2 linked regions of the Lonchura striata genome follow. The protein of the gene in region 2 interacts with the protein of the main gene of each other region in a biochemical or structural test. Links are inferred from orthologs where the notes say so. Each region holds a gene or a part of one and is shown on either strand. Other genes may lie near its edges. The genes, in order: TAX1BP3 and ARHGEF16.

Region 1 (16,239 bases), on a different chromosome or scaffold from region 2:
TTCCACCAAGAGCACCCTGGCTATTTCAGAAACAACCTTGATATACCATTTCGATTGCATCAGCCTGTTGCATGTTAATAAAAAATTATGCATATTAAAACTTTTCCCCAAAACTAGTCTGCATGTTCCAAGAATTGTCTAGCATGGCTCATGCTCGGGTTTGCCTTTTTGGAGCATGTGTGTTTTTTGGTTGTGGTTTTAATCCATTCTTATCATCACCTACAGTTTTGGGCCTTGGTCCATACTTTGTACTCATGGTAAGTGTTGACAGTTCATGTGTTCACTGAATGTTATCCCAAGCAAGCAGGCATTTTAACACAAGCATACTTATATCAGCTATTTCACTACTCTAACAGAAATAAAAAGTGTATCTTTGACATTATACATATAGCATCCATTTTATTATTTGTGAAAAGCCAATACATCTATTATAATATGTATTTATAACAGTGGGGAGTGTTCATATGCAGGTTTGTCACACGTGGCAGGTGAAGGCTGTGTGCCACCAGTGCTGCTCAGCCCCTGTGGGCAGGAGAGCCCTGAAAAGGGGAGCTGTGCCACAGATTCAGCCTCTTCCTCTCCCAACCTGCCCCAGCACCCTCAGCTTCTTCATGGGTGACTTCTTGTCCTGACAGGTGATATCAGCAGTATTGTGAGGGAGCTGGAAGCATTTCGTTTGAGCCAGAGGTTTTCACCCAGGGAAATGGAACTCCTGCTGCTTGCAGTGGAGAGAAGGAAGCAAAGCCTTTCCCTGGATTGCTTAGCAAGGCAGCAGCTCTCCCAGGGTGCAGCCAGGCTGTTCCCATCACCCTGGCTTACAAAGGAGCTGGATCCAGCTGGGGATGTTCCCTGCAGCTTTCTGCCAGGATCCCCAGCTCAGCTGCAGGGGCTCCATCTCCCAGCCTGGTGCTGACTGTGCTAAAGTGAGAGCTCTGCACTTGTGAAACCAGCCACGCTCTGCCCTGCAACCTGCAAAAACCTCTCTTGTTTTTCCTCTTGAGAAAGACACAGCCCTGCTCTTCCTTTCCCTTTCTGAGGTTGCTGAGTGTAGCACAGATGGAGGCTTTGGTTTCATACCTCATGACCTGTTATTACACATTCCTCCACTGTTGGCAAGCACAGCTTGTGTCCAAGGGTTTAGCCTTTATTAGCAGTTGCAGAGGCTTTGGTGTCATTGGCATGGTTTGATTTGACCTCAGTGTGAATTTCTCTGCCTGACTCGTTCCCTGACCTCCCCTAACGCTGCTGTGTTCACACAGGTGGGTGTTTGTGGTCAAGAAAGGCTACCAGGACACAGACACGTCCCTGCAGAGCTCTGTCATCACCAAGCTGAAAGGGGTGGCCTTCACCAACACCTCGGAGCTGGGGGAGAGGATTTGGGATGTTGCAGACTATGTCATCCCTCCCCAGGTTGGCATCACCCCCTGTGGGTGCTGAAGTGTATCTATCCAGGTCTTCCCTGTGAATTAGCAGGAGCTGGGATACAGGAATGTGGTGCTGGAAGGGGTTTTCTGCTGTGAGTTTTTTATTTGAGATGCCGGGGGTGCTCTGCCTCCCCCCAGGACCGTGGGCTGGCTCTCATGGTTGTGAGTGCACCCACAGTGTGAGGGAATTCATCCAAACAAATATCCACACAAAAGGTGATGTTTTATCTCAGCCTGAAAAGCTGTGGGGAGAGGGGGTTGTTCTCTTCTGAACAAAGCTTCCTGCTTTAAAAGTAAACCAAGTTTTCTAACTCTTTGTTTATTGCAGGGTGAAAGCGTCTTCTTTGTCATGACAAATCTGATTGTGACCCCAAACCAGAGACAAGCCGTGTGTCCTGAGGTAGGAAGAACTGAGCCCCTTGACCCCCAGACCCCTGCAAAACCGGGGATAAGAACTGACAGAGGACACTTCTGGAGCAACAAAGAAAGGAAGGATGAAAGACAAGTATTTTTTCCTGTAGTGTAAAAGTTCACTTGGGAAATTACTGTAAACGTGGGAGGCTCAGCTGTCTTAATTTCCAGAAGCACTGATCATGCAGAGCCTTCCTGACTTTAAGTGGTGTTGAATTTCTGCCCAGCTGGAAATGGGACCAGGCAGTGATTGCTCAGGGTTAGAAAAGGCCCCGGGAAAACAAATTTGATGTGACTTGGGGTAGTTATGGGGAGAGGAGACTTTTTAAGAGCCCCATCCTGGAAATGCTGAACATGCAGGCTCTCGTTACCTCCCAGACACAGGGTGGTTGCCCAGCACCTTCCAGAACATGCCCTGAAAGCATGAGGTGCTTGTGGCATGTGGAATATCCTCTGTGGAGATGTCTGGAGTGGGCTGGGGCTCGGGGAGGAAGCTGTGCTGTGCAGGGAGAGCTTTGTCCATGGAGCAGAAGGATTTTCCATGTCACACCGGGGGCACAGCTGGCTTGCTCAGGGCACTGCTCTCCTCTGGTGGCCGAGCAGCCGGGACAGGGGCACATTTGGGCACGAGAACTTTGTGGCTTAGATCCAAGGTAGGGTTATCTTAAAGCAAAATGGGCTCCTGCCTGGTTTTGCTGAGTACTAATGTTGGTTTTTTTAAGTCTGCCCCTCTCCAGACTGAGCAGAACCCAAACCTGGGAGGGTGTGGCTGAATGCTGGTGCTTCTGGTGGTGGGATATGTTTGCATGACCCCCATTTACCACTTCAGCTGTGTGGTTTTAGTGCTCACACAGAATCTGCCCCATGTCAGCAGAAATTTCTCTGGCTCTGGTGTCCTTTTTGTCACTTGTGTCCTTTTCCCCTCTGCAGAGTGCCAACATTCCTGATGCCCTGTGTGACAAGGACACGGACTGCCTGGAAGGGGAAGCAGTGGTGGCTGGCAATGGTAAGACATGTCCCTGTCTGTGTTGTGTCTGGTGGTCTTCAGAGCCCTCAGCCCGGGTACACCCCCAAATCTCTGATTACAGAGAGCACCAAGGCCTTTCTTTCCTTTCATCTCTTTTCTTAAGATCCCTGCCTTGCTTACAGCTCTGTGGTAGCTGGGCCAGGGAACCCTGGGCTGCTCAGAGACACAACAAGAGGGCGTTTGTTCCAGCTGAGAGGCCCTTTCAGCAGGGAGGAGAGGGAAAATCCTCTGTTTTCACATGCCCTGTGGGCAAGGAGAGGAGGTGACTGCTCGGTGTGACCTTTTCTGTGATGTCTGCTCACAGGGGTTAAGACTGGCCGTTGTTTGAAAGACAAGGGCAGCACCAGAGGGACTTGTGAGATACTGGCCTGGTGCCCAGTGGAGAAAAGATCCAAGCCCAAGTACGTGTCTTATTTCCAAGCTTGAGTTGCTTGGCTTGTGTGTCACCCAGGGCAGTTCCTGTGTCCCTCTGCTTGGGTGCTTGCTGGAATGTTGGCTGATCAGTGCAGGAGGGGGCTCTGCAAGGCTCTCCTGGCAGGACTGGCCCTCTGCTCCCCCTGCTTCCCTCCCTGGCTGCTCCCAGCTCTCGGGGTGTCTCTGGACCTGCACGCTCCTCACCAACCCCTTGCTGGCACTGTGGGGGAAGTGGCACAGCTGGCCTGGTGCCATCCAACCTATTGGATGAAGCTGCTTCTGAAATGGCAATTCAAAATTTCACACGTGGGCCGGGGACAAAGACAGAGAACAAACCCTTCTCTTCCAGGAAACCACTGCTGGGCAGTGCAGAAAACTTCACTGTTTACATCAAGAACTCCATTCGCTTCCCCAAGTTTAAGTTCTCCAAGTAAGTGCCACAGGTTCCTGAGCTGCTCCTGCTCAATAGATATTCCCTCTCCTCCAGAAAAATAAAGTGCCTGGACAAGGCTGACAAAAAATGAAAATTTAACAAATATGTTTGCCTTTGCTGCTGCAATGTGAACAAACTAAAGCAGCGCAGAAATGTGCACGTTCTGGTTCTTGTCCTGGGCTCAGATAGGCTTTTCTAGAGTTCTTTTGTTTTCCCTTGAGACAAGCAGATGGCCCTGGAGCAGTTTGGCAATCTGTTCTGTGTGAGCCCTTTCTTGAGCCCAGATTCAGCTGGCCAAATCATTTTCTGGCCAGGAGGTCATTTCTGGGGGAGAGACTGCTTTCCCCAGGCCAGCAGCAGAGACACTCACAGGGTGACAAGGCTGCCGTGCACAGAGGGTGTTGGAGAAGCCTCTTGTCTCTGCAGTCCTGCTGCAGGCTCTGAAGACAAGGAAAGAGGGAGCCAAGGTGGATTTCCCTGTTTCCTACATGCAGGATGAATGTGCTGGCAACTGACAACGAGTCCTACCTGAAGACCTGTCGGTACAGCCAGGAGCATCCCTACTGCCCCATCTTCGTGCTGGGGAACATCGTCCGCTGGGCTGGGGGCAACTTCCAGGAAATGGCCTCGGAGGTAGGAGGGTCCCCAGGGCTCGTGGGTGATCCCAGCTGGCTCACTGCTCACTGGGAGGCTCTGAGGAGTCACTGCCCAGGGAGCTGCCTCCTGCCCAGGCTGCACTGCAGAGGTACCAATGCTTAAAGTCAGGCTGGTTCCATTTATCCTGACCCCAGGGAATGGGGGTCCTCTCAAAAAGCTGGTTGGGTCAGTTATTTCTATTCAAGGCTGCCCAAACTGCTGCTCTGCCAGCAGGGATTCTTCATTTAATTTCAACATTACCACACGATTGGTTTAAAGCCAGAACTCTGTAAATCCACCCCGGCATAAAAGTCTTCCCCACTGAAGTGTAGAATGGAATGAAATTAATGTCCTGGGATGAGAAACTTCTGGATACCAGCACAGAGAGAAGTGGGGTTGTAGAGTAGTAACAGGATTAATGTCACACACCTGAACTCAGCCCAGGCAGGAGTGTGTGCCCCTTGTTTGACCAGAAGTGCAGCTGTTTCTTGCCCCTGGGGAAAGCCTGCCCAAGGGTCTGACAAATTTGAAGACACTTTAACTGAACTAAGCTTAAACAACTCACCCTGTCTCTCTCTTTTAAGGGTGGTGTGATAGGAATTCAGATTGAATGGAACTGTGATCTTGATAAAGCCCCTTCTGAATGTAATCCTCACTATTCTTTTAGCCGGCTGGATAACAAGTCTGCAGAAACCTCCATCTCTTCTGGGTACAACTTCAGGTGGGTACAGAGGAGGGCACAATGCAGTACCACAGCTGGGCTGGGCTGCTTGGACTGGCAGGTGCTGAGTTTGGCAGTGAGTGGCACCAGCCTGTGCCAGGCACTGCTGCAGCCGAGCTCAGAGCGCTGCAGAGGAGGGAGGGAGGTAGGGAGTGCTCCTGGCAGGCTAAAGTTGGCTTTGATGAGGGAACAGATCTCTTTGAAGGGATGAGAGGCTTCAGAGGGGCAGGTGGAATTAAAGGCAGCACTGTTGTATTCCAGGTTTGCCAAGTATTACCGGGATGCTGAGGGGGTCGACTACCGGACGCTCATTAAAGCGTACGGAATCCGCTTCGATGTGATGGTGAATGGCAAGGTGAGAGCCAGGTCAGGATGTCCCAGAGCCTGCAGAGAAAGGAAGTGGGGGGAGGCAGCTCTGCGAGGAGGACAGCCTCTCTGGCTTGTTGTAGAAAGGGCTTTTCCCATCCATCCATGTGGAGCTAATCCCCATGTGAGAGAGATCACCTGTAGTGCAGCTAAGCCTGCACCTCCTCTACTTAAAACCAGGCTCATGTAAAGCCTTAACAGAAATAAATGTGCCCCAGAGGCTTGTTTTCCATGTGCAAGCACTGCAGAGAGAAAAAGCCTAATCCAGGGATGATGCAAGCTCAGAAATGCAGTTAGGGACAGTCAGATCTAAGACACAGAGACCTTCAGCCTCCACTGCAAATCCCCTGTGGTTGTGCCTGGGAACAAAACGCACCCAGGGGCAGCAGCAGCTTCCCCAGTGCAGTACCACACCCTTGAGTTTGTTTTGTGGGTTGTTCTCTCAGTGGTGACTTCATGACCTTTGTTCTTCCAGGCAGGGAAATTTAACATCATTCCCACCATTATCAATATCAGCTCGGGGCTGGCACTCATGGGAGCTGTAAGTGAATGTTTTATCTCAAAGTAACCCCAAGGGACCCACACCCCAAATAGGATGGGGGGTTTAAACCTTCTCCAGCAGAATCTTTACTACTCAGCCAGGTGTGTGTCTATGTCCTCCTTCCTTCAGTGCCTGGTTCTTTCTTAATAAACCTAGTAGTCTAAACACCCCCACAATCTGTATATTACATATACATACTCTGGAAAATGCATGGACAATGAAGGCAAACACAGTTTCTACAAGTTATCCTTTCATTCATGCTCATTTCTAATGAGTTCAGAATACTTCCTCTTCCTTTCAAAGATAAACCACAAGTTTTTTTCCCTTTGCAGGGAGCTTTCTTTTGTGACCTGGTGCTGCTATATTTGATCAAGAAGAGTAACTTTTATCGAGGCAAAAAGTATGAGGAAGTCAAGTAAGTGGGCCTGGTTTTGTGTTAAAAATCATGGCTTTTTGTTAAGACTGATAGAAATAGGAGGACATACAGGAGCACAGTTCCAGGGAAATATATTCTTCCAAATTATTTTGGCCAAGTTATTGGCTTCCTCTGTAATTCCTTGCTGCAATGAGCTGGGAGGAAAGGCAGCTGCTGTGTCAGGGTTGGACTGGCAATGGCCTCGTGAAACTGAGATGTGGAGGGGCTTTTGGGGTAAGGTGAGACAGGCCTGGCTGGGAACATTTTTGCCTCCTGAAACAAACCCAGGCTGCTCATCCTGTCCTTGTGCCTGTTTGCCCAGGTCCAGCTCCAGGAAGTCCTTGTCGAGCCCTACGCTGAACGGGAATCAGAGCCCAGAGCAGCTCGGCGAGCTCTAGGCACAGCAGTGGCTCTGCCAGCTGGACTCCTGCTCCAGGAAATCCACACTGGTGTGGCACCACACCAGCACTGGGAGGTGGATGTACCCCAGGTCAGGCCTACTATGATCAGGATTCCCAGAGGACAAAACCTTCTTTAAAGACTGTCTTTCTTCCCAGAGATTTCTCTGGTAGCCTGAGCTTGCAACGTGTTGTCACTATGGATTTATAAAAGGATTTTTATAAAAGGACAAAGAAGGCACAAAAATGAATGTTTTTATATCCACTGATAGATATATCTGTACTTATGCCAGTAGCCAGCATTGTCCTGTGGCTGTGCTTTGCTTCCACGTGGAGAAAAGCTGTGATGGGAGCACTTTGGGAAGGGCTGAAGCTGAAACCCAACCTGTTTCCTGCTCTGCTGCCCTGGCAGCCACTGCCTCCAGCTCCTGCCTGGGTGATGTGACATCCGTTGTGAAGCAGCAGGACTGCTCTGCTCAGGAAGTGCAGGGAAATGTGGCATTGGAGCAGCTCTTGGGGCTGGGAAGGGGCTGTGATCCTGCAGGGCCTGAGGCAGGGGGGCCCTGGAAGCACCTGCACAGCTTCTGCCTCCTTCCTTCAGTGCCTGGTTTCATTTGCTCGGGACTGTCCTTGCTGTGTCACTGCCTGATTCTGTGGTGGCAGAGCTGGATGGACACTCAGTGCCTCTGTTTCTCACAGCACCCTGGGCTGTGCTGCACACTGAGAAGGGCAGCTGTGCCAGGGACATGGGCTGGGCCAACCTCCTCCAAATACACCAACAGCAGGGAAGTTAGAACATATCTGCCTGCTACTTCAACACCAGTGACCTCCAGGAAATACAAGTGCTTGTCTCTCAGCAGCATCAGTCTCCTTGCAGCCTATTTTGTCCATTTATCTCATGTGGGGAGGTGAATAATCTCAGAAAAGGGCTTAAGGAATATGATTGTGTTCTGTACATGCTGCCCCATCACCACTGTGAGCTGTCCTGATAAAGATTAAATGTTTTTGTGCATGCTTTGAATACCAAAAGTTACAGGGCTCCTTCTGCAGTGTCTGAGGGTGGCATCAGGGAGCTGCTGCCATCGAGCGTCTGCACAAATGGCACCAGCAGCTGCACCCAGCTCTGCTGTAACTTATTTAAAGTCGTTACTCTGAGGTACAGGTTCATCCTAAATTAAAGTTCACCTGTTAGCAGTGGCAAACTCTGAACCCAGCCACTGACAGCAAACCCCACCCAGTCTAGGTCCCCACCTCTGCTTCTGTGTAGCGAGCAAAAAATGGGGCTAGAAAATAGAATTAAACAGTGGAGTTCATTTAGGTTAAGCTGTATACCTTTGGTGCTCTGATCTCATCCAAAACCTTCTCTCCATGTCAGAAGTCTCTCTTCAAGGCAAACACAAGTCACCATGTGGGGAACTGCACAAGAGTTACCACCAGGCTTTTGACTGTTAGGGTTAATTAAAACTCTGTGTTTCACCATCTAGAAGTTGTGTAATTTCTAGATGGTGAAACACATGAAGAACCCCCCCATGTGACATCAGGGCCTGGCACAACTCCTGGCACCCAAGCAGCTCCTCCTGATGTGCAGAGCTGACTGTGCTCTGCTGAAACCATTGTTTTAACTTGCCAAAACATCCTCCTGTGAGATGACCAAAGCTATTTCCTGAATCTAAGTCTCCAGGCCCCCCAGATCCCCTAGAGTGTTTCCTTTCTTTAGACTCTGTAACACAACTCCTACAAGCCCTGCTGTTAATAAAACATAACCAGAGTCCTTCTCAGGACTTGTTTCTTGACTTTGACTTTTTTTTTCTCCTTGTGTTTCTTGTTCAGCAATAAAATGTGTCACTTCAGGCCAGTGCTCCCTGGGAGTGTTCTGTAAGTGTTTTTTCAGGTCACACCACCTTCTCCTGGTGATAGTGATGTGAGCACATTGATGAATCACTTATTTTCACAGAACAGGGCTATAGGAAAGGCATTACCTGGATGGTGCGTGATGGAATTATCCCCTATTGTGGCTGTTCTAGAGACCAGTGACAGTGCCATTTACTGATGGCAGTCAGGGAAGAGAGCATTTGCATGTATGTTTCTGTGCCAAACCTTTACATCCACTTAGTTATTTCCTTTTGTCAGCAAAATTATTTTTAAGTAATTTAATTATTTCAGGTTGCCGTGTTACTGCTGTAATGTTTGTGTGTAGGGACAGGCAGCACATCCAGAGGGGATTGTAACTGGTGTGTGTATCCAGGGAATATATCAATCAAACCCCACAGCTGTGCCTGCTCTTAGGGACAGAAATTACCCCCTAACAAGGAAACAAGGAGGCATCCAAGCGGTGCTTCACATTCAGTTTTAATAGAACAGTGCTACTGATTAATTTGTACTTGGACATAATTTACCAACAGCATTAACGACACGAGCCACGGACAACAGTGTGGAAAGTGAGCCGGCCTATGGTGTAGTGACTTTTGGCAACAGTCCCGCCGCTCCGTCCGCCGCGGAGCTGCTCAGTACACGTGAACCATTCCGTACAGGAAAGTCCAGAACAGGACGTAGGTGAAGAGCCCTCCCACCAGCCCCCCCGTGAACAGCGGCCTCCGCGACTTGAAGTACTTGTTCCACCGCCGCCCGGCTTTCAGCACCAGCAGCACGGAGAGGAGGACGGAGGCCAGGAAGTAGAAGATGAAGCCGTGCAGGCCGGTGAGGCCGAGGATGCCGGCCGTGGCGCCCGACAGGGCGGACACCGAGGTGCGGCAATAGTCCAGGATGGCCGCGTTGCCCCGCACCGCCGCCTCGCTGATGAACTGCGGCCCCTCGCGCTTGGCCACCACGGCGGCCATGGCTCCGCGCCGGGCTCGGGCAGCTCCTCGCTCGCACCGACACTGAGGTGAAGCAAACGCGCTGTACGAGCCCGCCCGCCCTCAGGCCGCCGGGAGAGCCCCGCGGGCCCTCCCGCCGCCCCTCCCCTTCCTCCGTACCTCTCATCCACGGCGGCGCCCAGCCCCGCCGCTCCGTCAGGCCTCGCACCGCGCCGAGGGACCCCGCTCAGCGCCCGTCACCGCGGGCCGCCCGCCGGGCCCGGCCCGCCCCGACCGCGCCGCCGCCACCGCCCGGCCGCCATCTTGCCTTGGGGGCCGACGGGACGCGGCCGCGCGGGCGGCGCGCCGTGGGCGGGGCGGCTGCGGATTGGCTGGCGGGGAGCGAAGGGCGGGGTCGGATTGGCTGGCGGGGAGCGAAGGGCGGGGTCGGATTGGCTGGCGGGGAGCGAAGGGCGGGGTCGGATTGGCTGGCGGGGAGCGAAGGGCGGGGTCGGATTGGCTGGCGGGGAGCGAAGGGCGGGGTCGGATTGGCTGGCGGGGAGCGGGAGGCGGGGCCGGGCGAGGCGCTTTTGTTCGGGCGGCGGCGGTGGCGGGGCGGACATGGCGTTCGTACCGGGGCAGCCGGTCACCGCCGTGGTGGTGAGTGGGCACGGGAGGGGCGGGCACGGCGTTCCTACCGGCCCAGCCGGTCACCATTATCCCGGGGATACCGTGCCGAGGTGGCGGCTGCTGGCGGGGATGGAGAGGTGGATGCGGGTGGTGCCCGGCAGCGCCCTGCGCGCTGTCACGGGCGGAGGTGCCGCCCCGGGGCAGCTCCGGTTCGCGGGTGCGGGGAAGGAGCGGGCGAAGGCTGCGGGGTTAGGCACGGCACACGGGTGACGGTGCCGGTGCCCGGCAGTCGGAGGGTGGAGGTCCCCGGGCAGCCCCGCTCCGCGGCCGCTCTGTCCGCAGCGCCGCCGGCCCCGGTTGCCGCCCCGCAGCCGCTCCCCGCTGCGTGGGCTGTCAGATTCTCCGTCCGGGATAGCGGCTGGGAGAACAGAGCGGAAACTCCGCCGGGCGGAGGGACCGACCCCCGGCCGGGGATGCTCGGGCGTTGCTTTAGAGAAGAGGGAGCGAGAGACACGCGTTCTCCCGGTACCGGGACCCCGCGGCAGCCGAGCCCAATCTCGGTGCGGATCCCCCTCTGCGAGGGCAGAGCAGGATAAGCACCTGCGTGTCTGGGTGGGGTTAGGAAGCAGAGCTTTTAAAGGGAGATAATGGCTTTAATCAGCACGAAGTGCGAGTGAGGGATTTGTGCTTTCCTCTGCCTGCAGCGGTAACTGGGGTTGTGCTTGCGTGGATGGCTCCGATGTTTGGAATCCAGGGAGTTTGGAATTCAGTGGGGAAGTTCAGGGTCTGTGTGACAGGGCCATGAGAGGAGAATCACAGAGTGGTTTGGGTTGGAAGGCACCCATGAAGGTAATCTCATCCAATCCCCTGCAATGAGCAGGAACATCTTCCATTAGATAGGGTCGTAGCACTTTTCGAGAGGTTGCTGTGTCAGTTAAGACCGTGGCTTTTCACCCTGGCTCAGGAATTAATTGCACCAGCTGGCATTTCTACAATGCTGACATAATGCACAAAGCTGGTCAGATGCCTCTGTGCATCAGGCAGTGAGGAACCTGCCCCGGGTTACAAAAGTTATCCTGAAAAAGAGCCATCCTAATAATAGGTTGTTATTTCTGCTGATAGGACTAGCAGGAACATAAGGCATGTGGATAATGAGCAAGATGAGGCTGGTCATGAGTAACTGCTGGTTATCAAGGCATGAGTCATGTTTAAAGAGACCTGCTCTGGTTTTAGTGTTGTTCCCTTCTATTCCTGGGCAGGCAGGACAGCTCTGAGTAATTGAGGGGCTGGGCTGTGTCGTGGGATCTCTGTGAAAAACAGTCTAACTGGATCTGAATTATCAGCGTCTGAAATGCACTTGAGATTTCTTCCACTTGTCACAATGCTCAGCTATTTGATCTCTTTCTCTTTCCAGCAAAGAATTGAAATACATAAGCTTCGTCAAGGTGACAATTTAATTCTGGGATTCAGCATTGGGGGTGGCATTGATCAGGACCCTACTCAGAATCCTTTCTCTGAAGATAAGACTGACAAGGTCAGATAATCTTTTTCTGTAGCAAGTCCCTCTCCCAAAGGCTGACCCAAGTCATCATCTGCCCTCTACCACAGCTACTCTCTTGCCCCATTATCACTTGTAGATCCAGTTATTCAAGTGACTTCTACACCTTTTCTATTTTCCAACATTGCATGAGCCTGTTTTTAACTAAAATCTCATAATACACTAGAGTTTTTCTGTGTTGTCAATCAAATGGCCCTTGAATACTGAATCCTTCCACATTTAGTAAATGAGCACTAATTTTTTCCCAGGGTATCTACGTAACAAGGGTGACACAGGGAGGCCCGGCAGAAGTTGCAGGACTCCAGATTGGAGATAAGATCATGCAGGTAAGCACCAAGATAAGACAGTAGTGATGTAGTACCAGCTGCACCCTGCAGAGAAGCATCTGCTGGGGAAAATAATCTTCTGGGTACTTACCAGGACAGTTTGTAGGGTTTATAAATAAACTGAGCTGTGGCATAAAACCATATCCACTACATGGTTCTGATAGAACAGTTACAGGACACCTGTGAGTCCTTGCATTTGCCTTATTTTATGTTTTTTTTTTTCCCAGGTGAATGGCTGGGATATGACAATGGTGACCCATGACCAGGCCAGGAAGAGGCTGACCAAAAGGAATGAGGAGGTGGTACGGCTGCTGGTGACCAGGCAGTCCCTGCAGAAGGCTGTGCAGCAATCCATGATGTCCTAATCCATCATCCAGCTGGGGAGGGGGTGGGAAGGGAGATGTATAGACTGCTATCAAAGAAAGAAGCAACTATTAGACTGGAACAGGTTGTCTGGAAGGAGTGCATGTTCCTACCTGTGGTAAACACTACTTTTTTATTTTAACTTCTTCTGGTGTAACTGGCAGTAGTAAAACAATACTCCCCTCAGCAGAGTGCTTCTCTAAAGTCTGCCCTGCAGGTACATGGCAAGACTTCTGTAGTCATGACTTTCAGGACAGGACAGACCCAAGTTATCTAAGAGCAACTGGAAAAGCCTTAACTTGGACAGGATTCTTCTGTAGCACAAAAGCCTCCTATTTTAGGAGGAAATGTGGTTTCTGCTATGGGAGACCAGAGGGTTTGCTGTGCCTAAGCTTTTAGAAGGGAGCTGTCCTGTCCCCCACATTGCTACCAAATTCATATGCCAGAGTTAAGAGCTGCACAGTGCTGTGGGGAGGAGCACTGTACTAATCCTTCACTGTGTGCAAGATAGAGAGTGGCTGAAAGGTTTGGGGCATTACAGTTTCCTGCAAAGATTCCCTGGACAAAGCAGCCTCTTGAGGCAAGAAACAGCTGAGTAACAAACAAGTGTTAGATCAATGCCTGTGAAGTACACTACAATTTAATGGACACTACAGTTCAACCTCACTGGCAGGGTAAAACCTGAATTCTCCTTACTCCCAGTTTGTACCATCAGCTGAATTGAGTTTAATTGAGCAGGAAACAAAGCAATGTTCCTGAACCTACCAGAAATGCTGCTCATAGCTGTAGAGTTTTCAGGCCTTCATTCCACTTCTATCTGACTTGAAATGGGAGGGATTTTGGTTTGTGTTTTAGAAGTTTCTGCTTAAATCAGTGATTTATTGGATGGAAGAGATGACTATGCCAGTAATTTGCAGAAGTGCCTCTTGACCAAATTTAAACTTCTAGTAGGATACTAAGTGTTTTAAATCAACATGCCACAGGACTGAAGAGTCTTGCTGCAACTCTAAGTCCATGATCTAGCATCCTGTGGTTTGTTAGCCAGTTAGCTTTACAATTATCCAAAACCTGGAGTTTTTAATCCTTTTCAGTTGATCTATACATATCTATAGTTTCTTTAAGCAGCCTTGAGGTAAGCTGTTGTAAATAGAGCATGAGGAGGTGGCCAACTAATTTATTCAGTACCTCACTGCAGCAGATGCCTACTTACCAATTTTATATCTCTGGAATTACTACAATTCTGCTTTGGAATTTTGTAATTTAAGAATTCAGTAGTAAATTTTAAGTCTTTCAAGTTGGAGTTATTTTTGTTACTATAAAGATACACTGCTATTTGTACTGCTTTTTTCACTTGATTTTACACACAATAAAACAAAATTGGTTTTCCTGAGTTGTTTTTCCTTATATTTGAGTGTGCCATATGACTTGGGTGCCTCTAGCTGTGACCTTTTTTGGCTTAAGAGTAGATTGTGGAATTACTGAGATCAGTAAGGTCTAGTTTCACTGATGGGGAACTGTCAAACCTCATCTGAGATCTAGTTTTCCTTAGGTTGACACCTAGAAAGACACATAAGGTTCTAAGCATTCAAGTATAAATGCACAGATTCCCTTCTAATTACTTGTCTTAGCACCTTTGAAAGAGCTTTCAGTGAAATAAGAATACAGCTTCTGGTTTTTTAGGATTTTTTTTAATAAAGAGTTCAAATTGTACCAACCCCATTATTGTGATGTACTGCTGTGGCCAGCCTGAGTGGTGATGGACTGTGAGCTGTCTGGGAAAGGTCAGCAGCAGCACTTGGATCCACAGACAGCCTTCAGTCATTACTTAAAGATATTAAGTGGTTGCTTAAACATGATTCAGATTTTTGGAAGACAGAACTCTGCTCTTTGTGCTTCACCTCCAATCAGAAAGACATCACTTTGGTCTTTCTCTTCCCTGTGGTTGGTGAAAAAAGAGCCATGTGTTGCTTGGACAGCTCCTTCTGAGCTGTGTGTGCAGCTCCATCAGGCACGAGTCTCCCATGTGCAGCTGAGAGCTTGCTGTCCTTAAGGCATCTGGCAGCCAGTGCTTGGCAAGGCAACATTTTGTGTTCCAGCCCAGAGAGGATCAAGTGACAGAGATCAGAATCAGTATTTCTGGTAACTGGCAGCAAGAATCTTGAAAGCCCTCAGACAGGGTAGGGCCAAGTTCAGTTTAAAGTTTTAATCTCCACAAGTGATGTTTGTTATTCACAAGGTTCATACCCTCGTCTCCTGTACAGGCAGTAGTGCTGGGCCATGAAAACAATATCAAAGACAATGGAGAAGACACCCAGGCCAAACTTGGTTGGATCTCCAAAGATTAACCTCCACTCATCTGTCAAACACAAAATTAGAGTTAAGTCTGACTCCTCAAGTGTAGTCTTGTCTTCAGACCCTTTAGAGAAGTTCATGTCTATTACCTGGACTGCTCAGACACACCTAAAACTAACTGCAGTGCACACCTTATGCAAAGTTAATTAATAACTGTTCCTGTGGTTTCTTCAGGATGACTACTTCATTTTATATCTTGAGGGAATATGAACAGATCCTTTATCCTTTCTATAAGAACAGCTCCCCACACAGAGCACAAACATCATTCTTCTGAGATAACCTTCTGCTTTATATCTGCTTTATATCTGCTTTGCAGTGGGACTTTCCATCCCATTAAGCACCTCAGTTCCAGGCTTACCATTGTTGTATGACTGCAGAAACATTTGGAGAAGGCTGAAGCTTCCCCCAGTGAAGTCCAGTAACACATTTCCAATACTCCATCCCTCAGTGCTCTTCCTACGGAAATTCATGTAGGCCTGGGAGTGTGACAGAAGTCAGTCAGAGTGTCATGCACAGGCATTTGGGATTGAATTTCAAGCAGCTTTCAGTACAATTCTACTGGTTTGTCACTGTTAATAAATAATCATTGGTGGTTTAGTCTCTTCAGACTTTCAAGAGCATGCACTGCAGCTTTAGGGTGGCAGGGATATGGAATGCAAGCAGAATAATTCAGATTTACCTGTGGGAAGTATTTTATGAGTGTGACTGCTAACTTAATGTAGGAGAAGCAGAACAAGAACTGCAGCCATGTCATCACCTCAGCTGCAGCCAGGAACAGCGTTGTGAAGGTGAAGATCCATGCAAGTGCCAGGAGTCCAACAACAACTTTGGATACTTTCTGACCTGCTCTCTGAAATACAAACACAGATACATTTTGGCCAGGTCACACATCCCCAGACACAAAGATACAGTTTGCTCAGGATCATGCAATGCTACACTCCAAACCTGTTTTACCAGTCAGGCTGGTACCACAAGGAGAACTTTAAAATTAAGCAAGTGCTACAGCAGCCAGCTGGAGGCTTCCAAGAGCTGAAGAGCAATATTCATATCAATAATTTAAAACACTGCTGTCCCTGAGCAAGAGGCAGCAGTGTTCTTGAGTATTTATGGTGCATAATCTGTAACAAATCTCCAAAATGCAACCTGATGAGATCAAGAGTTCCTGTAGGCACAAAAGGCTGATAATACCATTATGGTAAAAGATTTATGGTTGCTTTCTAATTCTTCAATAGAAAAATTCTGTAGTACCTGTCAATGATGACAGATGGGCTGTTACAGTTTTAGATTTAGCATGACCAGAGGAAGAACCCCAAGAGGGAAACAGTTACCATCTAGAGAAAATTGGCCTGTTCAGATGAGAGTCGTTTACAGTGAAAATCAAACAAAGAACCACCTGGCTGAAACAATCAATGGGATTAAGTAAGAATCA
Region 2 (16,009 bases):
CCTGACCAGGACACTTGTGCCACCCCACCCTGGGACCCAGATATGGCTCAGAAGAAGCTCAGGCTGCTCAGATGGGTGGCACCAGGACAAGAAGTGTTATTCACAGAGCTTTAAGCTGCACACTGACATCCCCCAGAGAAGCAGATTGCTCTGGATATAAATCACAGAATATGCTGGATGGAAGGGACCCATTAAGATCAACTCCTGGCCCTGCACAGGACACCCCAAGAATCCCACCATGTGCTTGAGAGTTATCCAAATGTTTCTCCTGAATACAGGAGCATCCAGGCTCAGCACCCAGGGCCCAGAGGGCTGCAACTCCAATCAGAGGCTGTCCTGGGCTCAGCAAACAAAGGGAATAGCAGAGTCACCTCTGCAGAGGTGCCAAGCAATGCCACTGTATGACTACTTACATCTAAGAGCAGAGGAAGCCGTGTTACCCTCTGCATGGGCAGAATGAGAAATGAGATCATTGGCAGGCCTCCACACTCAGGCTTCCTTTCAATTTGTTTCAGGGTGTCTTTAAATAAGGGGTTTGTGGTTCTGGAACAGGACAAGAAAACTCCATTAACTCTGTTCTTCAGTTGTCAGGATTTTCCAGCAGCTCTCCATGCACTGGAAATGCAGAGCAGTGATGGCACTGCCTGGGGTGCTCTGCCAGGCTAGGAGTGCCCAGCTGGGCAGAAATGGGACTGATCCCACAGCAGGTGGTGGAAAAGCACCCAGAGAGAGATGGTGAGCCCACCAAAAGGTGGGTAAAGTGACAGATGTACTAACAACAGACTCAGACTTGGCCTGGAGATGAACAAGGCCCATCCATGCCCTGTGTGTTACGGACCTCTGCAGTCCCTGGAGCCCAGAGCCCCTCAGAGGCAATTCCTTGGCCAGCCCAAGCCCTTACTCACAGCAGCTTTTCCAGTGTCCTGTGCTGATAGACTTCATTGGAGCAGTAGCTGATGTAGGGGTTGAAGTGCTTCGAGGCGTGCTCCTCCACGATGTCACTGATGTCAGGGATCAGGAGGTGCTCCTGGTGTCGCTTCTCCAAGTCCTCAAAGAAGCTGAGGAGAGAATTTCAACAGCCACACCACATGACTCACTGGGGCTGGACAAAGGAATGTTCCCACTGCTGCTTTTCCCCAGTTTTCCCAGAGGAGATGGGGCCTGGATCCCTTCTGGCAGGGCAGCTCCAGCAGCTGAGACACCCACGCCTTCTCCAGAGACACACGCTTCATTCCTGCATGGGATCCCTCCTGCACCTCAGCCCTCCATGAGGTTTATTTCTGCCCCATCAGGGAACCACAAGCCTCAACACCCCCACAGCCATTCCCAGGGCTGCTGCATCCTCCTCCTGCTGCCTTCCCACACGGCCACAGCTCGCTGAGCACTGGCTCCCAAGGCATTTCCTCCCCACCTCCCAGTGAGTACTTTCAGCAATCCAAGGGATGGCTGGTTCAGCACTACAAACAAAAAGCTCAGGGTCCCCTCCCAGGCCTGCCTGGTCCCAGCCCCAGGCCCTGCTTGCCTCGTGCTGACTGTCAGGATGTCCCCAATGTTGGAGAAGAGGTGGTGGTGCTCTGTCTGAGTCATGGTCTCCTTCAGCTCCTCTGACCTCATGAAGTGGCCCACCAGGATGCTCAGGCTGTGCATGTAGGAGTACTCAGAAGTGATGATCTCAAACATTGCCTGGAGAAAGCAGGGAAGATGCAGCAGCATAAACTGGACAAAGCTGGGAATTAACTGTTAAATCTTATTTACACTCTTTGGCACAAAGCCACTGGAAATGACTTGGCTCTGTGCTGGTTCTCTGTGTCACCTCATGCATGGCCTGGCCAATACCAATAATCCCAGTGTGTTTTAGGACACTCAGTCGTTAAAAAGCCACAGCATGAAGATGTTTTCCCTTCCCACCAGCACCCAGTGGAGCTGCCTGTTTCCCCACCAATTAGTGCAGTGAGCCCTCCCAGCACTGCCCAGTCCTGGAGCAGCTGGGAGCAGCAGCACCATGAGCTGTCCCTGACAGAGCCACGCGTGTCCCACGGGCTTGGGTGCCCCCGCTGTGCTCCCAGGCACGTCCCAGGCCCCTCTCACCTCCTGGCGCTTGCGCTCCTCGGGGGAGATCCTCTGCAGGATGCCCGAATCCAGAACCTGGGGACGAGCGGAGCCACGGTCCTTGCACGCCCTCTAGTGCGGTCTGGGGCTGTGCCAGCCTCCCCACGCCCAGCCCAGCAGCACTCACCCAAGGGACCCGTCAGAAACCTCCAGAAACCAGCACGCACTGTGACACACCATCAGAAACCATCAGAAACAATCACACACTGTGACACACCATCAGAAACCAGCACACACTGTGGCACACCATCAGAGACCAGCACACACTGTGACACACCATCAGAAACCATCAGAAACAATCACACACTGTGACACACCATCAGAAACCAGTACACACTGTGGCACACCATCAGAGACCAGCACGCACTGTGACACACCATCAGAAACCATCAGAAACAATCACACACTGTGACACACCATCAGAAACCAGCACACACTGTGACACACAATAACACACTGCAACACACCATCACACACCATCAGAAACCATCAGAAAACATTACACACTGTGACACACCATCACACACCATCAGAGACCAGCACACACTGTGACACACCATCAGAAACCTCCAGAAACCAGCACACACTGTGACACACCATCAGAAACCATCATAAACCATCACAAAACATTACACACTGTGACACACCAGCACACACCTTCAGAAACCAGCACACACTGTGACATACCAGCACAAACCATCAGAAACCAGCACACACTGTGACACACCATCAGAAACCATCAGAAACCATCACAAAACATCACACTGTGACACACCTCCACAAACCATCAGAAACCATCAGAAACCATCACAAAACATCACACTGTGACACATCTCCACAAACCATCAGAAACCATCATACACTGTGACACACCACCACAAACCACCACAACCTGTCACAATCCATCAGAAACCATCACACACTGTAACACACCACCACAGACCATCCCAACCCATCACACACTGTAACACACCACCACAAACCATCACAACCCATCAGAAACCAGTACACACCATCACACACCATCACACACCATCACACACTGTAACACACCACCACAGACCATCCCAACCCATCACACATTGTAGCACACCAGCAAACACCAAAGGAACCCATCACAAACCACTACAAACCAACAGAAATCATCTCAAACCATCACAAGCCATCAGAAACCATCATAAACCATCACACACTGCAACACACCACCACACATCAAAGGAACCCATCAGAAACCATCAGAAACCATCACACACCACCACCACTCACTCCTGCATCACCCCCTGCATTATCCCCAGCTCCCCCAGCCCCCAGCAGCTGCTGCCACTCCCCGGATGAAGAATTGCTGTCCCCACATCCTGCAGGGGAAGCCCAGCAAGGAGCACCTGCCTTCCCCTGTGCTGTGGGTGAAGCCCAAGCACAGCAGCACCACCTGGGCAGAAATGGGAAGGATGAGGCAGACCCTGCGTGTCACAGCAAGCACCAATGGCTGGAATTATCCCCTCACAGCTCCCAGACCCTCCAGGCTGCTGTTCCTACCTCCGGGAGCTGGCTCCAGGTGACCTGAGCCGGGCGGTAGCTCTGCACCACGATGGCAGCGCCCAGAGGGGACGGCTCCTCCAGCAAGTCCTCGTCTGACTCGTGGCTGACCGAGTTCAGCCCTCTCTCACGGATCTCCTGATACAGCCGGGGCTCTGCGGAGGACAAGGCACGAGGTCAGCCCAGCAGCCTCTCCCAGCTCATGGCTTCCCTTCCCACCACGGCTGCCTTGCCCTGCTGGCCACCGGCCAACAAGCTCCAGCCAGCCCGGGGCCAGAAACTCCCTGATGAGGTTTGGACTTTGCACTGCACTGATCACACGGAGGCTCCTGCTCCCAGCAGCCTCCCACAGCTCTCCCATTCTCCCTGGGAGAATCCATCTGTGGGCATGGCAGCAACGGAGCCTTATCAGCCCCAGGAATGGGAGAGCAGGGCAGCAATGCTCCTGTTTGGGGGAACAGAGACAAATCCATGGTGCCAGGAGTGGGAAAGCAGGGCAGCAATGCTCCATTGCTTTGGGGGAACCCAGACAAATCCATGGCCCCAGGAGTGGGAGAGCAGGGCAGCAATGCTCCTGTTTGGGGGAACAGAGACAAATCCATGGTGCCAGGAGTGGGAAAGCAGGGCAGCAATGCTCCATTGCTTTGGGGGAACAGAGACAAATCCATGGCCTCAGGAGTGGGAGAGCAGGGCAGCAATGCTCCTGTTTGGGGGAACAGAGACAAATCCATGGTCCCAGGAGTGGGAGAGCAGGGCAGCAATGCTCCTGTTGCTTTGGGGGAACAGACAAAAGCCACGGCCAGGGAGCAGCTCAGTGGGGAAGGCTCAGGGGCCAGAGGCACTCACGGTCCTTGAAGGAGCCACCACGCTTCTGCACTCGCTTCCGCCCGAGGGTTCTCTGCAAGGGCAAGAGGAGAGCCTGCTGTGGTTGCCACACTGCTGAGGCCCTGGGAAAGCTCCCTCAGGAAGAGGGGGAGTTACCTGTGCCAGCTGGCCCACACCACCCTGTTCTTTCAGCCTGGCTTTTGTGTGGGCTCTGTTTGCCTTACCCAGGTGACTCAGCTTTCACCTCCCATACAGCCAGGGTCACGCTCAGAACCATTCTGTACTTGCACTGCTGCTGTCAAATCTCTCTCGCACCTGGACTTTGCCTGCTCTGGAGTTTCCCTTTCCCCAGACGTGCTTCACCCATGTTTGTGTACGACTGGAGCCGCTCTCCCGGCCAGCCCCACCCTGCAAACACCTCGCAAGTGCCTGCCAAGAGTCCAGCTCCACTCCCCAGGAAAACTATTCCCAGCCTCCCCAGGAACCTGCAGCATCTGCTGGTGACATGGAGCTTCCCAAGGCTCCAGTCTTGACACCAGGCTCAGCAAAGCAGCTCCAGAACTGACTGGAGCTGTGGCCCTGCAGCTCCTCTGTTGTTGGAACCCAAAATGTCCCTCAGACATTTTTAGAGGTTCCAGGCCTTGGTCAGGAGCATTTTAGACCCCAGCAGGCAGCTGCAAACAGCTGTGATTTTGAGTTTGAGCCATGGGATGAGTTACCAACTTTGGAGGTGGAACAGTCACAAAGGGATAGATACTATAGTAAAAGTAGTTACAAAACAGAGGGGAAATTTTTTAGTATTGTACAGGGGGGTTTTAGCACCTGTACGGGGGGGGTTTTACTTTGTACATGGGGGTCAGAAGTTCTAAGATGGAGGAAAGTGGGCTGATCCTGTTCTTCCTCCTTCTTCTTCCTTGCCTCCATGTTCTTGGTGATGCTGGCACTCACAGATTGGTTTAGAGTAGAAAAGCACTTTGTAATATAGGTAGTAGGTATTGCGGGAAACTATAAACATGTAATACGTAATATAACATATAAAAGACAGCAGCAGCCCTGTGGGGGGAGGGAGAAGAAGAAGACAGCAGACAGAGAGGATGTCAGGATGTGTGTGTGTGCGCCTCTGCCTGAGCTGTGAGCAAACCACAGCAGCCCGAGAAGAAAATCTTTTACATAACTCACAATAAACTGCCTTGAGACTGGACAACAAGAGGCTGCAGAGTTTTTCTTTGGAAGCATGGGTTGGAGGAGAGACTTTACCACCCCACGAGACCCCAGACCAAGCCCGGGGTTCTCACACTTTGTCAGCACCAGGGAAGCAGGAGTTCATCCCTGACCCACAGGGGGGACAGCGGGTGCTAAACCCACCTTGCTCCTGCCGGGGCTGCGATCGGGCGGGGCGCTGCCATCCTCGGGCAGGGGTTTCAGCGAGGGAGCGGCCTTGGCTGGCTCCGGCTCGGCCCCCAGCCCCTTCATGGCCGCGCGGTAGGACATGTTCCTCAGGTTGCGCTTGAGGAACCCTCCGCCATCATCCTCATCCTCCGCCTCCAGCGCCAGCACGGGCACGGCCGCCCGCTCCGGGTCGGGGCTCAGGGGCTCCCGGCTGGCCCCGCAGCTCTGGTGCCGGGAGGGGCTGTTCTTGGGCTTGGAGGAGACGGCCAAGCTCCTGGGGATGAGCTGCTGCGTTCCCACCTTCAGCGCGGCAGGGCTGTCCGTGCTGAGCACGATGCGGCGGGGCTCGGCCGAGGTGGGGGAGGCCAGCGGTGACAGCGGGCTGGCACTGGGAGCCGTGGTGGGGCTGCGCTTCCCAGGGCCACACGTCGGGCTGGGGGGCTCTGGCCGTGCTGGGTGGCATCGGTACTCCAGGAGCAAGGTCTTGTCATCCACAGAGGTACCAGAGGAGCCCCGAGACATGGTGGTGGCCTGCGGGAGCAGCAAGCTGAGGAGGACAGACAGACAGACTGACAGACAGATGGGTGGCTAAACACCTCCCAGTAAGGCAGCAGGAATTTACAGAGCCACAGGAACCTTGGGACAGCGCAGGACACTCCTGTGTCAGGAGTGCAGGGTCGCTGCAGGCAGGGCCTGTATGGACACACTGGGGATGCTGTCACCACCCTGCTCCTTGTGGGGCCACCTGTGTGGTCAGGAATGGGAGCAGGGAGGCATGAGAGCAGCCAGGCTCCAGAGCAGCCTGGGCAGGCTCAGACCTGAGCTGGGCAGGCCTGGATCCTCTCCCAGCCCCGCTGCTGCCACACCTCCGTGTCCCCTCATTCCCCTTTGGGGTGCTGCCAGCCACCTCTGTGCGCTCCTGACTGCCACCTCCCCCGGGCTGTGGATCCCTGGCCGTCAACCCTCCAAGCTCCCACTTGCCCCACACCTGCTGCCCACAAAAACACCTGCCCCAGTCCCTGGGGCTGCCAGCTGGGGTTAAGGTCACTCACCCCCTCCTGTGCCACGCACAGAACCATGCACCTACAGAACGGACAGAGAGTTTTATGCCCTCTGCCTATTACATAACTTCGGGAGAAATGATGGTTAAGCTGTCCTCAACTGAGACCCCATTGTGCACCAGTGCCATCTCCAAGCTGTTTCCTTTCAAAGACCAGGAAACAAACCAAGGCTGGACCGTGCTTTTCCCTCCCATGAATGACTGGCAGGAGGACAGCACAGACCCATCAACAACAGCTCGTTTGACAGAGGCTGCTCATTCCAATGTCCTGGGATGCGGGACACACGCTCTGCGTCCGGAGCTCTGCCAAGTGTCCCTCGGACGAGCAAAGCGCCACGTTCCGCTCTTAACCCCATCCTGGCTGAGTCCTGGTGGCAATGAACAGGCCTGACCGCAGAGGGTCTGGGGCTGCAGCGTGCACGGTGCCGGGCTGGAGGGAGGCTCGGTGGCCACACAGGGCACCGATCCCCCGCGTCACCGCCCGCGGGGGCGCACGGGCACCGCAACCCGGTACCGCCACCCCTACGCGCCCCGGGCTGCGGTGCAGGGGGCGAGGCTCTGAAAGGGCTGGGAGCACGGCGGGATACAGCCCCGGGAAGCACCCAAAAAAACCCCCTCTGCGACGGACCCAACCACCCCCCGGCACCTCGGGGACGGCGGCGACAGAGCCGCGGGAGGACGAGCCCCGGCTGCGCTCGGAGGGACGGCACAGCGCTCGCCGCCGTCCCCTCCCCGGAAGGCGCTCGGTGGCCGCCGGCCCGGGGCCGCCGCCCGCACGGCTGCCCGGCAGCCCCGGTGCCGGTGCCGGTCCCTCCCCGGGGTCCCCGGTCCTTCCGCAGCGCCCCCGCCCCGGCCCCGCCACGCCCGCACCTACCCGCGCCCCTCGGAGCCAGCGCGGCGGGGAGGGATGGGAGGGACCGGCAAGGGATGGGAGGGACCGGGGCGGGACCGGGGGAGGTGCCGGTGCGGCCCCCGGGGCCGTGCCGGGCTGTGCCCGGTGTCCGCGCATCCCGGCGCCGAGCAGCGCTCTGCTGCCTGCCGCGCCCCGTCCCGCGGTCGCTCCGGCTTCCTAGGGGTGAAAAATTAATTAAACTTCGCTAGGAACAGTGTTTTGCTGCTTCTTGATGAGCGTTCATCAGGGGTGTGCGCGGAGCGGCGCTGCTGGATCTGGGCATCCTCCATCCCCTAAAGCCGCCTCTGCAAGCTCGCTGTCACCTCAGCGGGTGACAAACCAGTGTCGCTCTCCTGTCACCTCAGCGGGTGACAAAGCAGTGTGCCCCGGCTGTCCTCGGGGTCTGGCCGACACACACTCGGTATTTCAGCAGCCCAGGGACTGTCCCTTACTGCAGGCATGTCTGATGCTCGCTTTAGTTGGGTCTTCAGTGGTCAAAGGTGACCTCGGGCGATCCCTCCGGTTGTACAAAACATCTATTTCGGCTGCTTTTGGGCGCTGGGAAAGAGGATCTTTCTCTGCTGGGAAAGAGGATTTGAGGGTCAGGCTGCTGACTGCCGCCCAGTAACCCAGCTGCCCAGTAAGGCTCAACAGTGCTCTGTGTCTTTATTGGGAGCAGACTTTTCCTTGACCTTCTCTTTTGCCCCCCTGTTCTGCTCCTCCCCATCCTCCAAATGGGGCCTTTTTCTCACTTGTTTGTGGTGAATCTCAAGCTCTCTGTGCATGACAAAGTCCACTTGTCAGCAATATTCTTTGAAATGCCTCTGTTCTCTCCACTCCGGGGCCTGCCTGACAATCGCCCCATTATCACAGCTTTCTTATCCCATAGATTTTTTATCCTTTCCCTCCGGGGCTAATAAGGAGAAAGGCTCCAGCGAGAGGAGGGCTCCTACTCAAGGGTTCAGCTCCGAATGAAACCCTCCCGATCTCCGGGGAAGGGCCATTATCCCGAATGTGGGACACCATCATTTGATCACCATGAATGACTTTTTGAAGCGAGGCCATTCATCAGTTGTGTAATGGGGTTTTTAGCTCAAAGACCCGGCTTTCAAGTAATTTCTGCTCACAGAGTCCCCTGGAGCTGAACCATCTGGCCGCTATCACTGGGCAGTTCACTCGCTCTGCGCTCTGGTAGTGAAAGGAAATATGCTTGACATTTTCCATCAGCTCACCGATGCCCCATCCCAACATTTTCTCCCACACCTGGAATACTCTCAGTCCTCCCTCTGAGAGTATTCCCTCTCATCCCGTCCCTTCAGTGGGATGTGATGTACCTGCTTTACACTAGGGAGGCTCTGTCCAGCTCTGAGCACCTCACAAAAGAGAATGGTTGAGGGGCTAAAACACTTCCAGAGAAGGGCACAGAGCTGGGGAAGTCCTGTGAAGAGAGGCTGAAGGAGCTGGGGGGGCTCAGCCTGGAGAAAAGGAGGTTCAGGGGGGACCTCTGGCTCTGCACAGCTCCCTGACAGGAGGACAACAAGGGACAGGATCAAACAGCCTCAAGTTGTGCCAGGGGAGGTTCAGGTTGGATATGAGGAAGAATATTTTAATGGAAAAGGTGGCCAGGCCTTGGCTGGGGATGCCCAGGGAGGTTTGGAGTGCCCATCCCTGGAGGTGTCCAAGGAAGGCCTGGACCTGGCACCCAGGGCTCTGGGCTGGGGACAAGGTGGGGATTGGGCACAGGCTGGACTGGATGGCCTTGGAGAGCTTTTCCAACCTTAATCATGCTGTGATTCCATGATTCTGACCTCAGCAGCAAGTGGGGTGGCCATAATTAATTTTTTTAAGCTCTTTCGAGTATTAAAAACCACACACACACAACATCAGACTCCAGAGGTACCACAGAGCAGCAAAGCCAGACAGTGACACACACAGTGTCCCATTATTGGGGACGTTCTCCATGGTTATTCCATGAAAAGAAGCTCATGGGACCACTGCTTATAAAAGCACACAGGTTTATTGCATATCAATCTCATGTATAAATTCATTGTAGCATTGGAAAGATTACATTTGGTATACATTCCTATTCTACAGCATTAACCTCAAAATCAGCTTTTTCTATTCATTATTTTAAAGGAATTTCTCTACACAAGTACATTTGTCTTTTATCACAAGCATCAAAATGAAATTTGTAAAATTGCCTTTTTTTTTTTAATTATTTTCTACACTTCATATCTTTTATTTCATTATGCTCCCAACAAAGCGATTCCATATTAATTAATAACTGCCAACACTTTTTCTTTCTTCCTTGGCAGTTCAAGGCTTCGAGCCTCGGACGCAAAATCTAATCACATATACAATAAGTGCATCTACGGAATTTTTTCTTTTTAATAAAAATTTCACAAACGGACACAATAATGACTGCTAAACACAAGTCATGCACAGTTTACTTATAAACATAACAGAAGCAATATACAATCAAGAATGATATGGAACAAGCACCATCCTCTTTCTCAATGTTTTTTAAACATTATATGAAAACCAGACATTTACAATTGATTTAAAAAAACACTATACAGGTCTAAAGGAAAAAAAAAATCCAACCTAAATCATATCTGTATTGTAACAATGGGAAAAGGAATGACATAGGATGCACAGATTTATGATTCTTGCAAGCACAATATATATATGTTTTAAATTACATCTTCTGCAGGCTGGAAATGACATCAGGGCAAAACATCTCTTGCTTTGAAGAGAGCAATGAGAATGTAAAATACACTGAGAATTACTTTCAGAATTACTTTGTTCACATGTGAATTGCACATTTGGAAAATCAAAGCTGCCTTTTTTTTCTTTTTCGTTCTTTTTTTTTTTTTTTTTTTGTAAATTTTTTTAAATTTTTTTTGTTTGTTTGTTTGTTTTAAATTTCTTCTTCCAAAGTGGTAATAAGAATTAACAACAGAAGAAAGAGGAAAAAAAGAACCTCGGAATCATTCGAGAACCTTTTAGTCACAGTTCCACTCAACACTACGGAGAAGTTTCATGGCTTTGTGAGAACACTACTGACCACCGGCGAGGAGCAGAAGGGTTTTGCCCTTTGTGCTGCCAGCACTGACCCGAGCCACGCCGCTCCTGCCCTTGGCGACAGCGCTGTCCCCACGGCTCAGGGTCCCCCCAAAAAGGGGCAGGGTCCCCAGCGCTGCCCCCCGCGCCCCGCCACACACACACACACACAGTACAGCACGTAAAAACCGAGTGGGGATCAGCAGATTGAGCTGGCAGATCGGGGGGCGCGGGGGGCTCACGATCCAGTGCTTCGACGCTCGGCGCCCAACGCGTTCGCCTCATTGTGCGAGCGCGTCCCGAAGGCTCTGCCAGGAGCTGCTGCCAAGAGCAGCCTCTGAGTGCCTAAGTGCTGGCTGGGGAGGGGGCAAAAGCTTCCTCTGCACTGTCCCAGGGAGGACAGGAGCCCAGCAGGGTGTTAGTCCCGGAATCGGCTGGGCTCACCCGCTGGGGTTCGTTCAGCCCCGTCTGGGTTTGGCTCCCGCGCATCGAGGGCCCCTGGCGCCCGGCGAGGCACGGCCTGCTGGCCTGGGACACCTTGGGAAGGTGCCCAGAGCAGCCCGAGCGCCAAAGGGCACATCCCAGGGAGGAACCCAGCGGCCCACAGGAGAACCGGGTGCCTCGACGTGTCCTGCAGGACCTGGCACCGCAGCACATCCCCTGGGAGAAGCTCAGCTCATCCCACTGGAGAGCTCCCAGCTGTCTGCACCAGCCACAGCAATCACACCAGGACCAGCCTCCAGCTCGGAGCTGGTGGGAAGCAGGGAATGCACAGACACGGGACACACATCCTCCTCCCTGACCAGCTCAGGCAGGAAGGTCCAGCCCTGGCCAAAGCAAGGGCCCTCCATGGAGCACCAACGCTTCAGCCCTGCGCAGCTCCCAGCCCCGCCTGACCAATCCAAAAATCCCCAGGGCTTCTCCTTCTCTCCTCTGTGCTGTTGCAGCTGTGAAAATACTTTAAATAAATAGATCCTACACAAAGCTCTGGGTTTAAACCACACCTGGAGCGGTGCCCTGGCTACCGGCCACACCGCAGCCACTTCCCATCCCTGCCACCCTCACCTGCCCTGGATCCCAGCGTGTCCGTGGGGTTGGACACCACAGCTCCATGTCTCACCAAAGCTCCCAGAGCCTCCCCAGCCCTGGGAAGCCAGCAGTGCTCTGCTAGCAGAGCGTCCTGGGCACAAACCTCTCGGGAAGCAGCCTGGAAAAGGTGAGATTCTCTGCTAAAGCAGCAAAATGGGACCTCCACACCTGCTGTGAGCTGCAGCACGTTCCAAGTGCAATCTGACGAAAGGTAGAGGTTAACAGAAGTTCAGTGAGGCTTCCTGTTTCTTTATCTTAATGGGAAAAATTGAAACTTGTAATCAGTGCTTAATTAGAGGAGTTGGGGATCCTACAACACAAGCTAGAGAAAATGGGGAGCAACTGAATTAGGAAATATGAAAAGAAAAAAAAAAAGGTGATTTTAAACCCTATATTTTTAATGTCCACAATCCCTGGCTGGATAATACCTCTCTATCCTCGGCCAGGGACCCTCAGGATATCCATGGAGAGCCAGAATGAGCCTGGGGAGGGGGACAGCAACAGTGTAAGCTCAGTCAGAGCAAAGACCTGACCAAGTGCTTCTGGAGAAATGATACAACTGACAGCAGGGCTGAGAGAGGGACAGGGAAACCATAAATACCCCAAATAAATGCCCACAATAACACTTGCATTCCTTAATATTGGCCCACATTTTGGTGTCCAGCTCAGTGCCACTCCCTCAGCTGCTCTGTCACCTCCCCGTGCTGTGGAGGGCGGTGCTGACCTGCCCTGAGGTTTCTTCAAGGGTGAGCAAAGCACGGTCAGAGCACACAAACACTCACTGCTGCCCACAGATCCTGTTCCAGCACAGCAGAGAGATGCTCAGACACGTGGCTTGCTCTGAGCAGCCGCCAGGAGTCACGGAGCTGCAGCTGGAATGGGACAGGATGGATCCATGCCCATGTTTAAGGCTGTTCCCATGTTCTCCTGGAGCAGAGGCACAGCATCTCCACTGGCCTCCTCCTCCTCTTCCTCCTGTGCTGCTCCCAATCACTGGAACCTTCCTCTAATGCCCCAGGAGCTTCAAGGCAAAGGGGAGCCGAGGGATGATTGTCTGGAGGTCAGCAGCACCACTGGCAGCACTGACTGGGCTCATTTGGCACATGGACAAAATCTCCCTGCTCCCTGCTTATCCAACATCCAACCTCATCAGCACGATTTTGGTCCTTCACTAGATACTTATATTAACATGATTTCTTCACAAGAATGATAGCTAATGTAAAAAAAAAAAAAAATACTGTTAAGGAAGAAATAAAATAAGAAAGGAATTAGGCCAAAATGACAAGTTATATACAGATTAAAATAAATTCCATCAGGAAAAGAAACAATCCTTTTATTATTTTCAGTTGGCCCCTGTGGGAATAATTTAAAGGCCAAGTGCCTGGGCAGGGCTGTGCTGCAGCCTGTGGAGTGGGGATGGGATGGGATGGGATGGGATGGGATGGGATGGGATGGGATGGGATGGGATGGGATGGGATGGGATGGGATGGGGCTGTCCCTCTCCTCCACAGAGCCGGGATTCCTCCGGCAGGGTCAGCTCTCGGGCTCTGCCTACCCAGGAGCTTTGTGCAAATACGTGAAGCAGCTCGGTCACACCGCCTGGTGCTCTCAGAGCCTTGGGCACTTTCACAGGATGTCGTGGAAAACCAAAAAGGGAAGAGTAAATTTCCTTGGGAAATGCACTTGTCCTGCTAATTTACCTTTTGTTCCCTCTGTACCAAAGCCACCCTGGATGCTTTCCTGTGGGGGCACTCTGGGGCTCCCCAAATTCAGCCTCACATGTGCTCTTGGGTGCAAAGCTGACTTGCAAAGGTGTCACCCACAACTCTGACTCTGCTTTGCTCAGGGAACTTGTTCTGTTGTTTTGGCCTGCTGGGACGAGGCTTCCCACACTAGACTGGCTAGGAACCCTCCATCTGCCCTTCTCCATGGCTTTCCTAACCATTCCAAAAAGGAATGTCATCTCCAAATTCCCCGCTCCACAGAGGAGAACAGCACAAAGCCCACACGATTTGTGGAGGCTGCTGTATATCAGTAGACAAGGTGAGGTTTGGAAGTGCTTGGAAATCACTCATAAAATCTCAATGAGAAATCTTAGAGTCAGAGAGACAGCTGGATTCTGATCTCCGTGCTCTGCACCCTTCAGGCAGCTGGAGCATGGAAATGTTCACCTTTGTACTTAAATCACAGGCTGGGCAGCAGCAGGTAGTGCAGAGGGAAAACCAGGCCAAAACAACGGTGTGAATCAGAGATCTGTGCCAGAGACAGCATCACCAGCACGGGTGATGTCACCCTGAACCCTGACACACGAGCAGACGTGTCCCAGCTGCCCGGGGCAGGTGAGGCTCGCCCAGCACACGGTTCCTTCCAGCTGGAGAAGGCTTTACCCCACCACCTCTCTGTTGGGCAAATCCAAGAATTTCCAGGAGCTCCACCAGCCTGGCTCTGTCCCAGGCACTCCCAGCCTCGCTGGAACCAGGAGGGGCAGGGAGCCCTGCCAGCCTTGCTCAGGGCACCGCCGACCACCCGTGTCCGTGTGCCACATCTGTCACCCCCACCTCAGCACGTTCCAGGCCGGAGAGGTCTCAGCTGGGAGCTGCACGTGGCTCACCATGACTGCAGGCAAGGTGGCCTCACCTTGGAGGAGCTCTGCACTGCGCCAGTGTTTCCTGGGAACAAAGGACAGGGTGGTGTTTCGGTGGGAGTGCAGAATTCTTTTGGGGGCGGTGAGTTAAGTGGGTTGAATTTGCCTTTCCCTGGCATAACTCCAGTGGCTGTGTCACAATTGCACTGGGGACAGGCCACACCTGGCTGTCTTCCCTCGGTGCTTCACCATTTCAGCTGGATGGGAAGGAAATGCTGCCCTGTGGTTCCAAGCTGTCATTCCTGCTCAGGCTGTGCTGGCTCAGTGACACCGGTTTGGAAGGTTGGAGGGGCCAATCTTTGATTGCACTGTTGCAATTCGTGTCTTGCTCATGCTATTCCTACAGGCTGTGAAATCCTGGGGCTGCTTCAGGGTTATCCAGTTTGGGAGAGGTTCATTCTGATAAATTAGAAAGGAGAACTCTAGAGAGATAAAAAATGCAGGACGTGTAGGTCGGATGTGACAGGTTTCCTTCTCAGCCCAAAGTCCAGACGACTCCCTGAGGCTCTCTCATCCATCTTCTGCTCGCTGGGATTTTGCTGGGATGGCTGCAGCACCACCACCCCTGCCTGGGCTCCGGCCAGTGCCTTGTGGACCTCTCAGAGGTGGTTGATGGGGTTAAAGGTCCCCGACTCTGAAGCTGCTCCTGCCATGTCCAGCCAAGCCCCCAGAGAGTTCTGGGAGGACGTGTGGAGGGGAGCGTTCTCAGACAGGGACAGCATCATTGCATAAGCCTGGGGGAGAGAGGGAGGCAAGGGCACGAGTGAGAACACGGGATGGAGGAGCTCTGTGTGTAAAACACAGCACCACCCAACCCTGCCCACCTGGGCCAGCAGCGTCCTGTGTGCTGGGCTAAACTCACATCCACGCTCTGGGATGGCACCCACCTCTGAAAAAACCAGATTTGTCATGCTTTATAGGGACAGTCAGGAGACACCATCATTCCCACTGGTTTGCACAGGATCAAACCCATCCTGCACTGCCTGTGCTCACTCACAAACCTCTACATGATTTCAGGCTCTGCTCCCAGGGGAAAGCAGCTCTTACTGGAAATTGTTATTAAAAAAATCACATCCCCAGGCATCAGCGAGGCTGGGCTGGGGCAGCAGTGCCCTGGGAATGGGGCAGCAGTGCCCAGTGGGAAGTGGTGAGCAGCTGCTCATCCTGACTCAATGCCTGGCATGGCCTCACTGGCGATGCCAGTGTGGATATTTGGGGTTGTGGAACTCTCACGGGCATCACCAGTGTGGTCAGGGTGGGTTTAGTGCTGCAGTGAGACCCTTAAAGGTGTCTGCTGAGAGAAATGCAGCCAGACTTGTTTGTCCTCTAACAAACTGCTGGTTCCTTGTAACCTGGGCTGCTGTCCCCCACCAGGACACAGGATTTGACCCACACATCTCCC

Evidence for each region.
Region 1: the proteins of ARHGEF16 (region 2) and TAX1BP3 form a complex in vitro, tested with the Homo sapiens proteins (2 studies listed by BioGRID and IntAct, with this or other methods). The link is inferred for Lonchura striata from reciprocal best matches to the Homo sapiens genes ARHGEF16 and TAX1BP3.

Annotation. Positions count from the first base shown.
Region 1 is NC_134622.1:8,393,218-8,409,456, forward strand, and holds TAX1BP3 (tax1-binding protein 3), read left to right. Parts: upstream 1-10,155; 5' UTR 10,156-10,202; coding exon 10,203-10,241; intron 10,242-11,625; coding exon 11,626-11,745; intron 11,746-12,017; coding exon 12,018-12,095; intron 12,096-12,322; coding exon 12,323-12,460; 3' UTR 12,461-13,848; downstream 13,849-16,239. Other genes in the region: P2RX5 (P2X purinoceptor 5), read left to right, coding at 1,260-1,410, 1,753-1,929, 2,766-2,841, 3,167-3,263, 3,626-3,706, 4,204-4,342, 4,930-5,066, 5,328-5,421 and 3 more; EMC6 (ER membrane protein complex subunit 6), read right to left, coding at 9,291-9,623; CTNS (cystinosin), read right to left, coding at 14,684-14,814, 15,169-15,286, 15,490-15,660. UniProt on the Homo sapiens protein: May regulate a number of protein-protein interactions by competing for PDZ domain binding sites. Binds CTNNB1 and may thereby act as an inhibitor of the Wnt signaling pathway. Competes with LIN7A for KCNJ4 binding, and thereby promotes KCNJ4 internalization.
Region 2 is NC_134626.1:3,680,253-3,696,261, reverse strand, and holds the start of ARHGEF16 (rho guanine nucleotide exchange factor 16), read right to left. Parts: upstream 7,812-16,009; 5' UTR 7,794-7,811; intron 6,407-7,793; 5' UTR 6,382-6,406; coding exon 5,836-6,381; intron 4,544-5,835; coding exon 4,492-4,543; intron 3,801-4,491; coding exon 3,646-3,800; intron 2,146-3,645; coding exon 2,089-2,145; intron 1,684-2,088; coding exon 1,523-1,683; intron 1,059-1,522; coding exon 906-1,058; intron 544-905; coding exon 414-543; intron 1-413. Other genes in the region: histone-lysine N-methyltransferase PRDM16, read right to left, coding at 15,207-15,341. UniProt on the Homo sapiens protein: Guanyl-nucleotide exchange factor of the RHOG GTPase stimulating the exchange of RHOG-associated GDP for GTP. May play a role in chemotactic cell migration by mediating the activation of RAC1 by EPHA2.